Linked DNA regions of Xenopus tropicalis. The protein of the gene in region 2 interacts with the protein of the main gene of each other region in a pairwise test. Links are inferred from orthologs where the notes say so. Each region holds a gene or a part of one and is shown on either strand. Other genes may lie near its edges.

Region 1 (4,241 bases), on a different chromosome or scaffold from region 2:
AACTTTTAAGGCACTAAACTCTTTTTAATAAAATCATATTGGAAAGTTGCTCATATTTGTTTTATAAGGTAAAAAGTATTTTTTTTTGGGGGGGGTGGTTTGACGTGTCCTTTAACTAAGAGGTAGGCAAGACAAAAAAGGTTAGTTGATTTACTTTCCAAACACACAAATATATGAAACGTGAACATCTAATGTGGCAGAGAGTAACAAGGCACTATTTCAGTTTGTATAAAAAAAAAAAAAAAAGTAACAGCTGCTTTGTAGCACTGAGGTCCTGGGTTCGAGTCCAGCCAGGGCAATATCTGCAGGGACCTAGTGTAGAACCTTCTATAGGCACAAATGAGAATACACTACCTCATTATTATCTGGTCTCTGTGCCACTTTGCCCCAATCAGGACAGGCCTGCCAGGAAGCCATTAGGCTCCACTCACACCCAGCCTCAGAGCACAACAACTGAGATAGCCTCCGCTCTCTTCTAACTCTAGCACACAAGTGCGACAAGTGTCTCATCTCTCAACTAAAGCAGCCCAGTATGGCAGCACCCTCGCACTGATGATAGGCTTGAATAATGGGAAGACCTGTGCCACTGTACTGGGTGCCACTGTACTGGGTGCCACTGTACTGGGTGCAGGGCTGGCAGTGGTTTCCCCTACGTATTAAAAGTCATTTTCAAATAAGGGCAAAAGCAAAGTTGTTCTGATTAATACACAGGCAAGAGGCGCTGCACCTTCCATAAAGCGCAGTTTGGCACCCAGTCACCCAGTTGGGAAGAAAGCAAGGCTGAGCAGCTGTATGCCCCAAAGTGTCGCTCCCAGCAGCCAATCATTCTAAAGGGAGTATTCTGCTTTGTATCCAACACTGTCACAACTAGTACTGTACTGCTTGTGTGTATGCGGGTCACAAAGGCACTGTGTGTGTGTGTGAGGACTGGCACCTGTGCTGTGTATACATGCTATGGTACAGGTGTGTGTGTGTGTAAGGGGGCAGAGTAAAACTGCTGCTGCCTACACTGTATAAATATGCCATGGTGTCAGTGAGTGTAGAGGAGAGATTGGCACTGCCTGCCCTGTGTGTTGATGCCATGGGGTAGTGCGGGGGCCGACTTGCACTGCTGCTGCCTACACTGTATAAAGATGTAGTGGTGTAATTGTGTGTGTGTGGGGGGGGGGTGACACCGCATGCCCTGTGTATGCATGCCATGGGGTAGTGTGAGTGTACATATCATGGTACAGAGCTGTGAGTGAGTGTACATACAGCTGTGTGTGTGAGTGAGTGTACATACAGCTGTGTGTGTGAGTGAGTGTACATACAGCTGTGTGTGTGAGTGAGTGTACATACAGCTGTGTGTGTGAGTGAGTGTACATACAGCTGTGTGTGTGAGTGAGCGTACATACAGCTGTGAGAGTGAGTGTACATACAGCTGTGAGTGTGAGTGTACATACAGCTGTGAGTGTGAGTGTACATACAGCTGTGTGTGTGAGTGAGCGTACATACAGCTGTGAGAGTGAGCGTACATACAGCTGTGAGAGTGAGTGTACATACAGCTGTGAGAGTGAGTGTACATACAGCTGTGAGTGTGAGTGTACATACAGCTGTGTGTGTGAGTGAGCGTACATACAGCTGTGAGAGTGAGTGTACATACAGCTGTGAGAGTGAGTGTACATACAGCTGTGTGTGTGAGTGTACATACAGCTGTGTGTGTGAGTGAGTGTACATACAGCTGTGAGAGTGAGTGTACATACAGCTGTGAGAGTGAGTGTACATACAGCTGTGTGTGTGAGTGAGTGTACATACAGCTGTGTGTGTGAGTGAGCGTACATACAGCTGTGAGAGTGAGTGTACATACAGCTGTGAGAGTGAGCGTACATACAGCTGTGAGAGTGAGTGTACATACAGCTGTGAGAGTGAGTGTACATACAGCTGTGAGAGTGAGCGTACATACAGCTGTGAGAGTGAGTGTACATACAGCTGTGAGAGTGAGTGTACATACAGCTGTGAGTGTGAGTGTACATACAGCTGTGAGTGTGAGTGTACATACAGCTGTGAGTGTGAGTGTACATACAGCTGTGAGTGTACATACAGCTGTGAGTGTGAGTGTACATACAGCTGTGAGTGTGAGTGTACATACAGCTGTGAGAGTGAGTGTACATACAGCTGTGAGAGTGAGTGTACATACAGCTGTGAGAGTGAGTGTACATACAGCTGTGTGAGTGTACATACAGCTGTGAGAGTGAGTGTACATACAGCTGTGTGTGTGAGTGAGTGTACATACAGCTGTGTGAGTGTGAGTGTACATACAGCTGTGAGAGTGAGTGTACATACAGCTGTGTGTGTGAGTGAGTGTACATACAGCTGTGTGTGTGAGTGAGTGTACATACAGCTGTGTGAGTGTGAGTGTACATACAGCTGTGAGAGTGAGTGTACATACAGCTGTGAGAGTGAGTGTACATACAGCTGTGAGAGTGAGTGTACATACAGCTGTGAGTGTGAGGCACTGGTTACGCTTCTCTCCATGTCTGGTCCCCCATTCCCCCCTGTAGGACACACACACCGCGCTTTACGCTCCAGCCCTTCAGCTCTTGTTGCTGAGCTACAAGTCACCCCTAGGTGCTGCTGGCAGTTGTAGTTCAGGGAGAGCTTGAGAGCAGCAGGTTGGCGCTACCTTACTCGCCAATGATATCATCCCAGTCAGTACCTACTCCCCCCCGGCCCTTGCTTCCTGCCCCCTCCCGTCCGCCCGTCTCTTTATCCCTCCAGCTCGCCCCCTCTCCTGTTCCAGCTCCCCGCCTCCCCAATCCCTCCGGTACTTCCCGGGGCCCCGCACCGCCATTTCCCCTTGTCTCACCGGACTCCGGTCTGATTGCCAGCTGCCCCCGCCATGCTCTGGAGCAGTCACCGTGACTAAGCAGCAGCCCGCGTCACTCACACTGCCTCTGGGCGGGGCCATGACGTCCGCACCACTAGGGGCGGAGCTTACAAGTGGGTTTTTTTTTTATTGTTATTGAAGGGAGGAGAAAGGGCGGCTGTGATTGGCTGCGGGGCGCTGCTTAGGTGACTGTTTAGGGAAGTGAAAGTAAAGTGAGGAGAGAGAGCTCAGCGGAGCGGGGAGACCTGCGGCTCTGGTTCAGCTCCCGGCCAACTATAGCGTCACCTGTTGCGCATTAAACAACAAAGTGCTTGGCTTATTGCGTAAAAGTGTTACCTAAAGGGCGGGGGAGAGACGTGTATGTATGTTTTAGTGGTAAGTAGTGTAGTGCGTTGCCCATGGCTATGGCGCAGACATTATTCCAAGCCGTTCCTGTGACAAAATGCCTGAAGTGGCGGGTATATATAGTTGGCCTTTAGATCACAGGGGAGCGTTTAGGAGCGTTTCCGCCCACCCTCGAAGCTACTGAAAGACGTGTCTTTTTAGTCAGGAGTCGCCATATTATTAGCTGCCTGAACCTGCACCATTTATTTCCAGCCCTGTAAGGTACAGCTGCCACAAACCAGAGATCACCTCGGATAAACAGATCGCTTGAGAGTTCAGGGGACAGGTCTAATTAGTACATGTTACAGGGCAGCACTGATGCCTTTAAATTAAACTGAAATACAATTTTCTAGCCCTGTCCCTGAATTTTCAAGTGATCATGTGACCCTGCTACAGGTCTGGACTGGGATCAGGGTTGGACTGGGGGGTGCAGGGCCCACCGAGGCCGCTGCCCCCGCCCGGCCGTGTCCCCCGCACCCCCCCTCACCTGGCAGGGTCCCCCAGCCCGATGCCCGCCTCTGAGCATGCATACGTTTTACACGTCGGCCCACCAGTATTTTTCCCAGTGGCCCAGTCCGACCCTGACTGGGATTCAAAATAGACCCTGGCATTTTAAGTTCCCAGAGGCCCAAACAGCCCAATAAATAGTGAGTGTCTATGGCACCTTACAGCAGCCCCTCTGGCATTTGCCTGAACCCACAGATTGCCAGTCTGGGCCTGATTTTCAGTACACAGAGGCCCAAACAGCCCCCCCATAGGCCCAATAAATAGTGACTGTCTATGGCATCTTACAGCAGCCCCTCTGGCATTTGCCTGAACCCACAGATTGTGTACTGAAAATCAGGCCCAGACTGGCAATCTGTGGGTTCAGGCAAATGCCAGAGGGGCTGCTGTAAGGTGCCATAGACACTCACTATTTATTGGGCCTATGGGGGGCTGTTTGGGCCTCTGTGTACTGAAAATCAGGCCCAGACTGGCAGAGGCCCAAACA
Region 2 (3,655 bases):
CCAAAATGTAGATCTTGAGCTGATGGCCACTAGATCACAGAGATGAAGCATACAAAATAGAACCATACACTTGTAAAGTCTGTGAACCCCTGTTTTAGACACACACCAAAAGCGGTACTAACCTGGCGTAGGAACAATAATAATAACATTTTAGAGAATGCTGATGTTTTAAGAGACATTACTACTAAAGAGCATTTTTTTTTTTTTAATCTTAAAGGACGTCAACCCCCAAAAAATGTTTTTGCCTAATAAATTAGAAACATAATTCTAAGCAACTTTCCAATATCAATTCGTTAAAAATTATTACTACTTTAAAAGTTGTGTAAACGTAATTGCTATTGAAAGCAGCATTTGCCGAAATCCTGGTTGTTACTTTTTAACAAAATTGCATGTGCCAGGCTCCTCCAGCAAGGCAGGTCTGTCACGATTACGCCACTTCAGATGCACGTGACTGTAGGCGTGGCTGTCTAGAGGGTCCCTTGCTCAGTCTCACACACCTGACACACAGGTCAGACTAGCATCACAGCACCCCAAAGACCAACCAACGCTCACAAACTCATACACAACTTGCTGCCACCACTTTCATACTTCTTACACTGGCGATGAGAGATGCCAAGCACACTGGTAGAGAAAGGGTTAATGTAAAGAACCGACACACACACTCTCCTTACCAGCAGTCAAAGGGTTAATCAGCACACAGCATACAGAGGGCTAAGGCACACAACACAGTTACACACTCGGAGGTTAGGTACGTTTTAGAGCATCAAGGACAAACTTATTAAATTTTATATTTAATATTATAAAAAGTATAACAGTGCAAGTTTAAAACAAGATGTTACAACAAAGGACATACGATAAAACAAGTACAAACAGTTTTAAAATAAAAAGGGAAAAATATAGAAGTCCTATACTATACCAAGCAAAGTCCTTCTAGTCCTGGAGGCAAGGGGAAACCACAGGATAAACTTCCAATAGAAATTGGTCCTCCACATAATATCTTCAGAAGAGCTGACTATTTATCCCAGTTTGCAGGGGGATCAGGTAACTGGACACTCCCCCCTCCCTCAGGAATGCAAGGGGTGTCACCATTAGCAGGACACAGTGTGAGTTTTATGGCCTCCTGTGTATGGACTGAGTGTATGGGACTTGTCCAATGATACCAATGTCCATAACTCCTTGTGGGAACATGATGAAATTAGATTCATCAATTCTTAATGATCCCACCGGTCCCATACAGACTAAACATCACCACTGTGTGACCTGCCCCTGCCCAGATACTCCTATCTGACAAACCAAGTGCCCAAATCCAGTGATGTTTGGACCCGTATGAAAGGCCATCTTAAATGAAACATATACTCAGGTTTTGGTACCTCTAGTATAAATAGTATGGGTTCTGGGACAATAAATGTTTGTGAGTTTGGGTTATGGTGTGACCTCCACATCACCTATGATGGGTCCCAATGTGAACTCTAAGTCACCCCCACGTGGGCTTTCACTCCCCCACATGGCATGGCTCTTATCAGCCAGGGATTAGAGTTGGGCATTTCAGGATGCGAGGCCTTTACACATGGCTGGTTCCAGACCCTAGTGACCAGAGGCCTGTTATATATCTCTTTCTGGCACATTTCTGGAAGATTTTGGGATACCTTGGCCTGCTTGATTAACCCTTACAGGCCTATATCATGACAAGGTCTGTCAGTCTGCTGCCTTGTGTTACATTGCTTCAAGTGCCAGAGCCACCAGGGCAGAGACTAGAGAGGACAGGTAGACACTGCTTTTAATAGCAATTATATATACAAATAACTAAAAAAAATAATGAATGAATGAAGTAATGAATGTATATTGCTTAGAATTAAGTTTTGTTTAATTAAGCAAAAAGTTATTTTTGGGGCTGACAATTCCTTTGAACAGAAGTGTAACCAAACCAATCATTACCTGTGAATACTACGATCTGGGGAAAGTTCAGCTTCATAATATCCATCCTTACAGTCCTTTCCTACCAACTCATGAGGGTGAGGTTTGTGTGGAGAATCCTTAGTAACTAGGGATATTCGAATACGCGCTGAGCCCTGGTAATGGTTTATCTAAAATGACCATAAAGAATGGAAGGAATCAATCAGACAATAAAAAAATAAATAAAATAAATGTGCAAATGACAAAAACCATGAATGAACAAATCAAATACTATGATGATGGTAAAGTGATGATTAGAATGATCAATAAGGCTAAAAAATTTTTCACTTCCCTTAATAAACAGCTGGGTAAAGAGCTATGAAAGTACAGCCATCAGTTAAGTCAAACAGAGCCCATAAGTTGACCGCTATCTTGTAGGCCATTACCAACTATGCCAGTGTGTCTTACAGCAGAAAATGAAAAAACATACATTATCTGACAACAATGGCTATTCAGACACTGAAACAATTTGTTCATTTAATGAACAACAAATCCTGCAATAAAACGGTGTTCTTTTTAGTCATTTCGCTTTTTGTTTAGCAGCTCTTCAGTTTGGAGTTTCAGCAGCTATCTGGTTGCTAGGGTCCAAATTATATAGCAACCAGGGAGTGGTTTGAAGGAGAGACTGGTACATGAATAGGAAAGGACCTGAATAGAAAAAAAAGTTATAAAAAGTAACAGTAAAATTGTAGCCTCACAGGGTCAGTGACCCCCATTTAAAAGCTGCAAATTGTTCAAAAACTATAATTGGCCATTCTATAACATACTAAAAGTTTACTTATAGGTGAACCACTCCTTTAAAAGGGACAGGGGTCTTTTTTTCACTCAGGGGCAGATTTATCAAAGTCCGAATTTCGGCTAATTAAAAGTATGATTGGCAAAAATTCGGAATAAATACAATAATTTTGGATGTGTGTTAATTGTGAGAAAATTCCTATTGTGTTTGTACGCAAATATCGTGGCGCAATCCGAAAGTTCTGAAATTTTCGTATCCGAACGATCATAAACGCCGCAAAAAACTTTGACTTTCAACCTTCAATGCATGATTTTGGAAGCCTCCCATAGGATATAATTACACTTTCTGCTTCCTTCTGTTTTAACTAGATGTGCAGAATAAGAAGCAGTCCAACAGCATTATGCATCGCCACCTCACTTCACTGTAGGTCTGCATCAGCGATATTAAGTGTTTTGCATAAACACTTTCCTTTAAAGTAGGGTGGCACAAAAGAAGCCATTATGCAAACGAGCTATGCCAGGTCATGCCAGCTGAGTATCTCTCAGACTAATTAACTGAAACACAAGTGTCATCTGACCTGAATAACAGAGAACATGTGCCAGAAAAAATGTGACACCAAAAATTACACCTAAATTGTGTGTAAAGCCGGTATGCATTGGAACTCAAAACACATAACACTGTTAGTGCTCAAAAGGGGGGGGGGCTGAATGCTGTTTGCATACAAATATTTTGTAAAGTCACGTTAAAACATCTAAATCACAGATAATACACTTATTGCAGGATTTGTATTCATCTGTACAAATTGTTTAAATGTCTGAATAGCAATGTGTCTTTTCAAGTGAGTATTTATGAGCTTTGCACACTGTTTGCAAGTGAAGTCTAAAGGGGGCCATACACAGGCCGATTTCAGCTGCCGATTCTGGTCCAAACCGGTTCGGCAGCTTATCTGCACCCCGATGCCTACCC
Region 3 (3,655 bases), on a different chromosome or scaffold from region 2:
AGTACAGTCCACAGGAATAAATAAATTACTCTTGCTGCACATATTACCGCTACAGTAACCAGTACGAGCCAGGATATACTTCTCTGGGCTGCACAATGATTTATCCTTACGTACCTATAGTACAACAGGAAATAAATACTCTGGCCTGGCCACATTATTAGCGGTAATAAAATCAGTACCAGTTACCAAGTCATAGGGAAAATTAAATACTCTGGGACTGCACATTGATTACTCTACAGTACCAGTAAACCCAACAGGGATAATACAACAGGGCAGCGACTTATTAACTCTATAGTACCCAGTTAACCAGCAGGGAAATAATTACTCTTGGGCTGCACATTATTACTCTACAGTGGCCGGTACCAGCGGGAAATAATACTCGCGCTGGAGGTTGCGCACATTAATTACTTCTTAGCATTGCCTAGTAAACCCAGCAGGAAAAATAATAACTTCCTGGGCTGCACATTTAATACTCCTACAGTACAAATGGAAATAAATATCGGGCCCGCACATTATACTCCCTTACAGTACCATACGGGAAATATATACTTTCCAGGTTCAGCTATTTAGGCTCGGTTGGGTAATTTAAGCGCTTGGGTGGCTGTGTTACTCGGGGCGGAGACCGCTTGCCACTGGTGGTGTGTCATCTGCTCTCTTGTAGTTTTAGCTCCACTGGCTTTCCGCATGCCCACATGGAGTTTAATAAGGGTTTTTCTTGTTAGCTGTTTGTTGCCCTCGTTCCTTGTTGTTGTGCCTGGTGGTCGGTGTCGTTCATACATTGTGACCCACACTGGCTTGTTTTTCGGGGCCTTTATTTCATGTGTGCGTTTGCTGTCTGTCTATCCGGTGTGATTTTTTTGCTCGGCGCGTTGATGCTGCGTTTTTCGTCTAGCGCACGGCGCCCCTTTGCGGGTCCGGCGGGACGCGCTCCTTTTACCATCAGGGAAATCAATCTCAGGGCTGCAGGCATTAATACTCTCCAGTAACCAGTACAAACAAGGGTAAATAAATACTTCTGGGCTGCACATTATTACTCTACAGTTACAGCACAGGGATAATAAAATTACTCAGGGCTTGTGGCACCATTCTATTATCCTTCAGTACCAGTACCAAACAGGGAAATAAATCTTCTTGGCTGCACATTATTACTCTGCAAGTGCAGTAACGCCTAAGCCCAGGGAATAAATACTCTGGGCTGCCACATTATTACTCTACAGTACATAGGGAAAATAAATACTCGGGGCTTGCCATATTCCATCTTAACAGTACCGTTAGGGGGAAATAAATATCGCAAGGGCCAAGCAATTATTACTTCTGACAGTAACCACACAGGAATAAATCTAGGTCAGCACATTATTACTCTCCAGTGCCAGATACCATCAGGGATAAATATACTTGCCTAGTGGTCTAGTGATAGAAATCGTATTTGTAGCGGTGTGCCTCTCTATGGTCGGGATAGATGTGGTATTGAATTGTTCACAGCACGGGGAAAAGAGATGGGCAGCTTTGCGAGGTCGGAAGATATGCGGGATGGAGAAATCCATAAAGTTAGTCGTGCGTTCCGGTCTTCGTTAAAGGCAGGTAGCAGTCGGTGACTCTGGGCTGCACATTATTACTCTACAGTACCGGTACCAGCAGGGAAATAAATACTCTGGGCTGCACATTATTACTCTACAGTACCGGTACCAGCAGGGAAATAAATACTCTGGGCTGCACATTATTACTCTACAGTACCGGTACCAGCAAGGAAATAAATACTCTGGGCTGCACATTATTACTCTACAGTACCGGTACCAGCAGGGAAATAAATACTCTGGGCTGCACATTATTACTCTACAGTACCAGTACCAGCAGGGAAATAAATACTCTGGGCTGCACATTATTACTCTACAGTACCGGTACCAGCAAGGAAATAAATACTCTGGGCTGCACATTATTACTCTACAGTACCGGTACCAGCAGGGAAATAAATACTCTGGGCTGCACATTATTACTCTACAGTACCGGTACCAGCAGGGAAATAAATACTCTGGGCTGCACATTATTACTCTACAGTACCGGTACCAGCAGGGAAATAAATACTCAGGGCAGCACATTATTACTCTACAGTACCGGTACCAGCAGGGAAATAAATACTCTGGGCTGCACATTATTACTCTCCAGTACCAGCAGGGAAATAAATACTCTGGGCTGCACATTATTACTCTACAGTACCGGTACCAGCAGGGAAATAAATACTCAGGGCAGCACATTATTACTCTGCAGTACCGGTACCAGCAGGGAAATAAATACTCAGGGCAGCACATTATTACTCTGCAGTACCGGTACCAGCAGGGAAATAAATACTCAGGGCAGCACATTATTACTCTACAGTATTGGTACCATCAGGGAAATAAATACACAGGGCAGCACATTATTACTCTGCAGTACCGGTACCAGCAGGGAAATAAATACTCAGGGCAGCACATTATTGCTCTACAGTACCGGTACCAGCAGGGAAATAAATACTCAGGGCTGCACATTATTACTCTACAGTACCGGTAGCAGCAGGGAAATAAATACTCAGGGCAGCACATTATTACTCTACAGTACCGGTAGCAGCAGGGAAATAAATACTCAGGGCAGCACATTATTACTCTACAGTACCGGTACCAGCAGGGAAATAAACACAGCTATAATATACATGCAGCGCTATGTGAGTGACCCCCCTGAGCCCATTCGGTACCTGATAGAGATCATTCTGGATACTGAGCACGTCGGCCGGTGCCAAGGATATGAAGCAGAGGGCGGTGTCGGTCCAGCCATGGATGACAGTGAGATGCAGGAACCTACAGGGTAACAGGAGCGCAGTGAGTAGTGCAGGCAGGGAGGGAAGTTTAGGGTGGGGGACTGGGGGATATGGAACAGTCCATGTCGGAAACCCCCTGGCAGCAATGGGTGTAATATGTCAACATATTTTGCCTTTCTAAAGCACTGATGTAAAACAGGTCACCAATCTCATTCCTCCCCCTTATTCCTGTAAGCAGGATAATGAGCTCTGTATAAACAAGCTCCCCCCTTCTCTAAGCTGCAGCCTTTGCTAGGCTTAGGGATGAGCAACTCACTATACACAGGGCTTATCTGCGGACTGGTCATTTGTTTTAACTGCTTCTCCTCTGCTTGGCAGAACCAGGAAGTCGTTTTATTTCTAACAGGAAGTACAAGAAATAAGAACCATAGTGATTTCCTGTTTCAGACATTAGGCAGAAAGCCAGGAATTGCCCATTTCTCCTCCACAGACACAGTACTCCCATGCCGCCTCCCTACCCATCATAAAGGTGATGCATGCTGGGAGTGGGACACTTCCTGGTCACATGACTGTAATCCCAAACTCATACATAGGATATACTTGGTGCTCCCTGCTGTGTGCGAGGCACGGAGGTATGCAGGGAGTTTGTGAGTGACACTGCAGGGATTCCCTGCACCCACTAAAGAGAAAAAGCCACTACAATTAGCAAGAGAGGAACGGGGGGACGTGAGCACAGGGGCCCCCAGAAGAGAGTGGGAGTGGCCGGTGGGTGAGCGAGGGGCGGTGCCGGAGCACTGGGCCAGCGCCACTTCTGACACAGGGGATTTCCACCCACGAGATAAAAATAACCGAGTCGCTTCCACCTCC

Evidence for each region.
Region 1: the proteins of rela (region 2) and keap1 interact in binary tests that used the Homo sapiens proteins (3 or more experiments, as listed by UniProt). The link is inferred for Xenopus tropicalis from reciprocal best matches to the Homo sapiens genes RELA and KEAP1.
Region 3: the proteins of rela (region 2) and nfkbie interact in binary tests that used the Homo sapiens proteins (3 or more experiments, as listed by UniProt). The link is inferred for Xenopus tropicalis from reciprocal best matches to the Homo sapiens genes RELA and NFKBIE.

Annotation. Positions count from the first base shown.
Region 1 is NC_030679.2:138,054,683-138,058,923, forward strand, and holds the start of keap1 (kelch-like ECH-associated protein 1), read right to left. Parts: upstream 2,868-4,241; 5' UTR 2,846-2,867; intron 1-2,845. UniProt on the Homo sapiens protein: Substrate-specific adapter of a BCR (BTB-CUL3-RBX1) E3 ubiquitin ligase complex that regulates the response to oxidative stress by targeting NFE2L2/NRF2 for ubiquitination.
Region 2 is NC_030680.2:38,475,051-38,478,705, reverse strand, and holds part of rela (transcription factor p65), read right to left. Parts: intron 2,085-3,655; coding exon 1,936-2,084; intron 1-1,935. UniProt on the Homo sapiens protein: NF-kappa-B is a pleiotropic transcription factor present in almost all cell types and is the endpoint of a series of signal transduction events that are initiated by a vast array of stimuli related to many biological processes such as inflammation, immunity, differentiation, cell growth, tumorigenesis and apoptosis.
Region 3 is NC_030681.2:2,161,519-2,165,173, reverse strand, and holds part of nfkbie (NF-kappa-B inhibitor epsilon), read right to left. Parts: intron 2,829-3,655; coding exon 2,726-2,828; intron 1-2,725. UniProt on the Homo sapiens protein: Sequesters NF-kappa-B transcription factor complexes in the cytoplasm, thereby inhibiting their activity. Sequestered complexes include NFKB1-RELA (p50-p65) and NFKB1-REL (p50-c-Rel) complexes.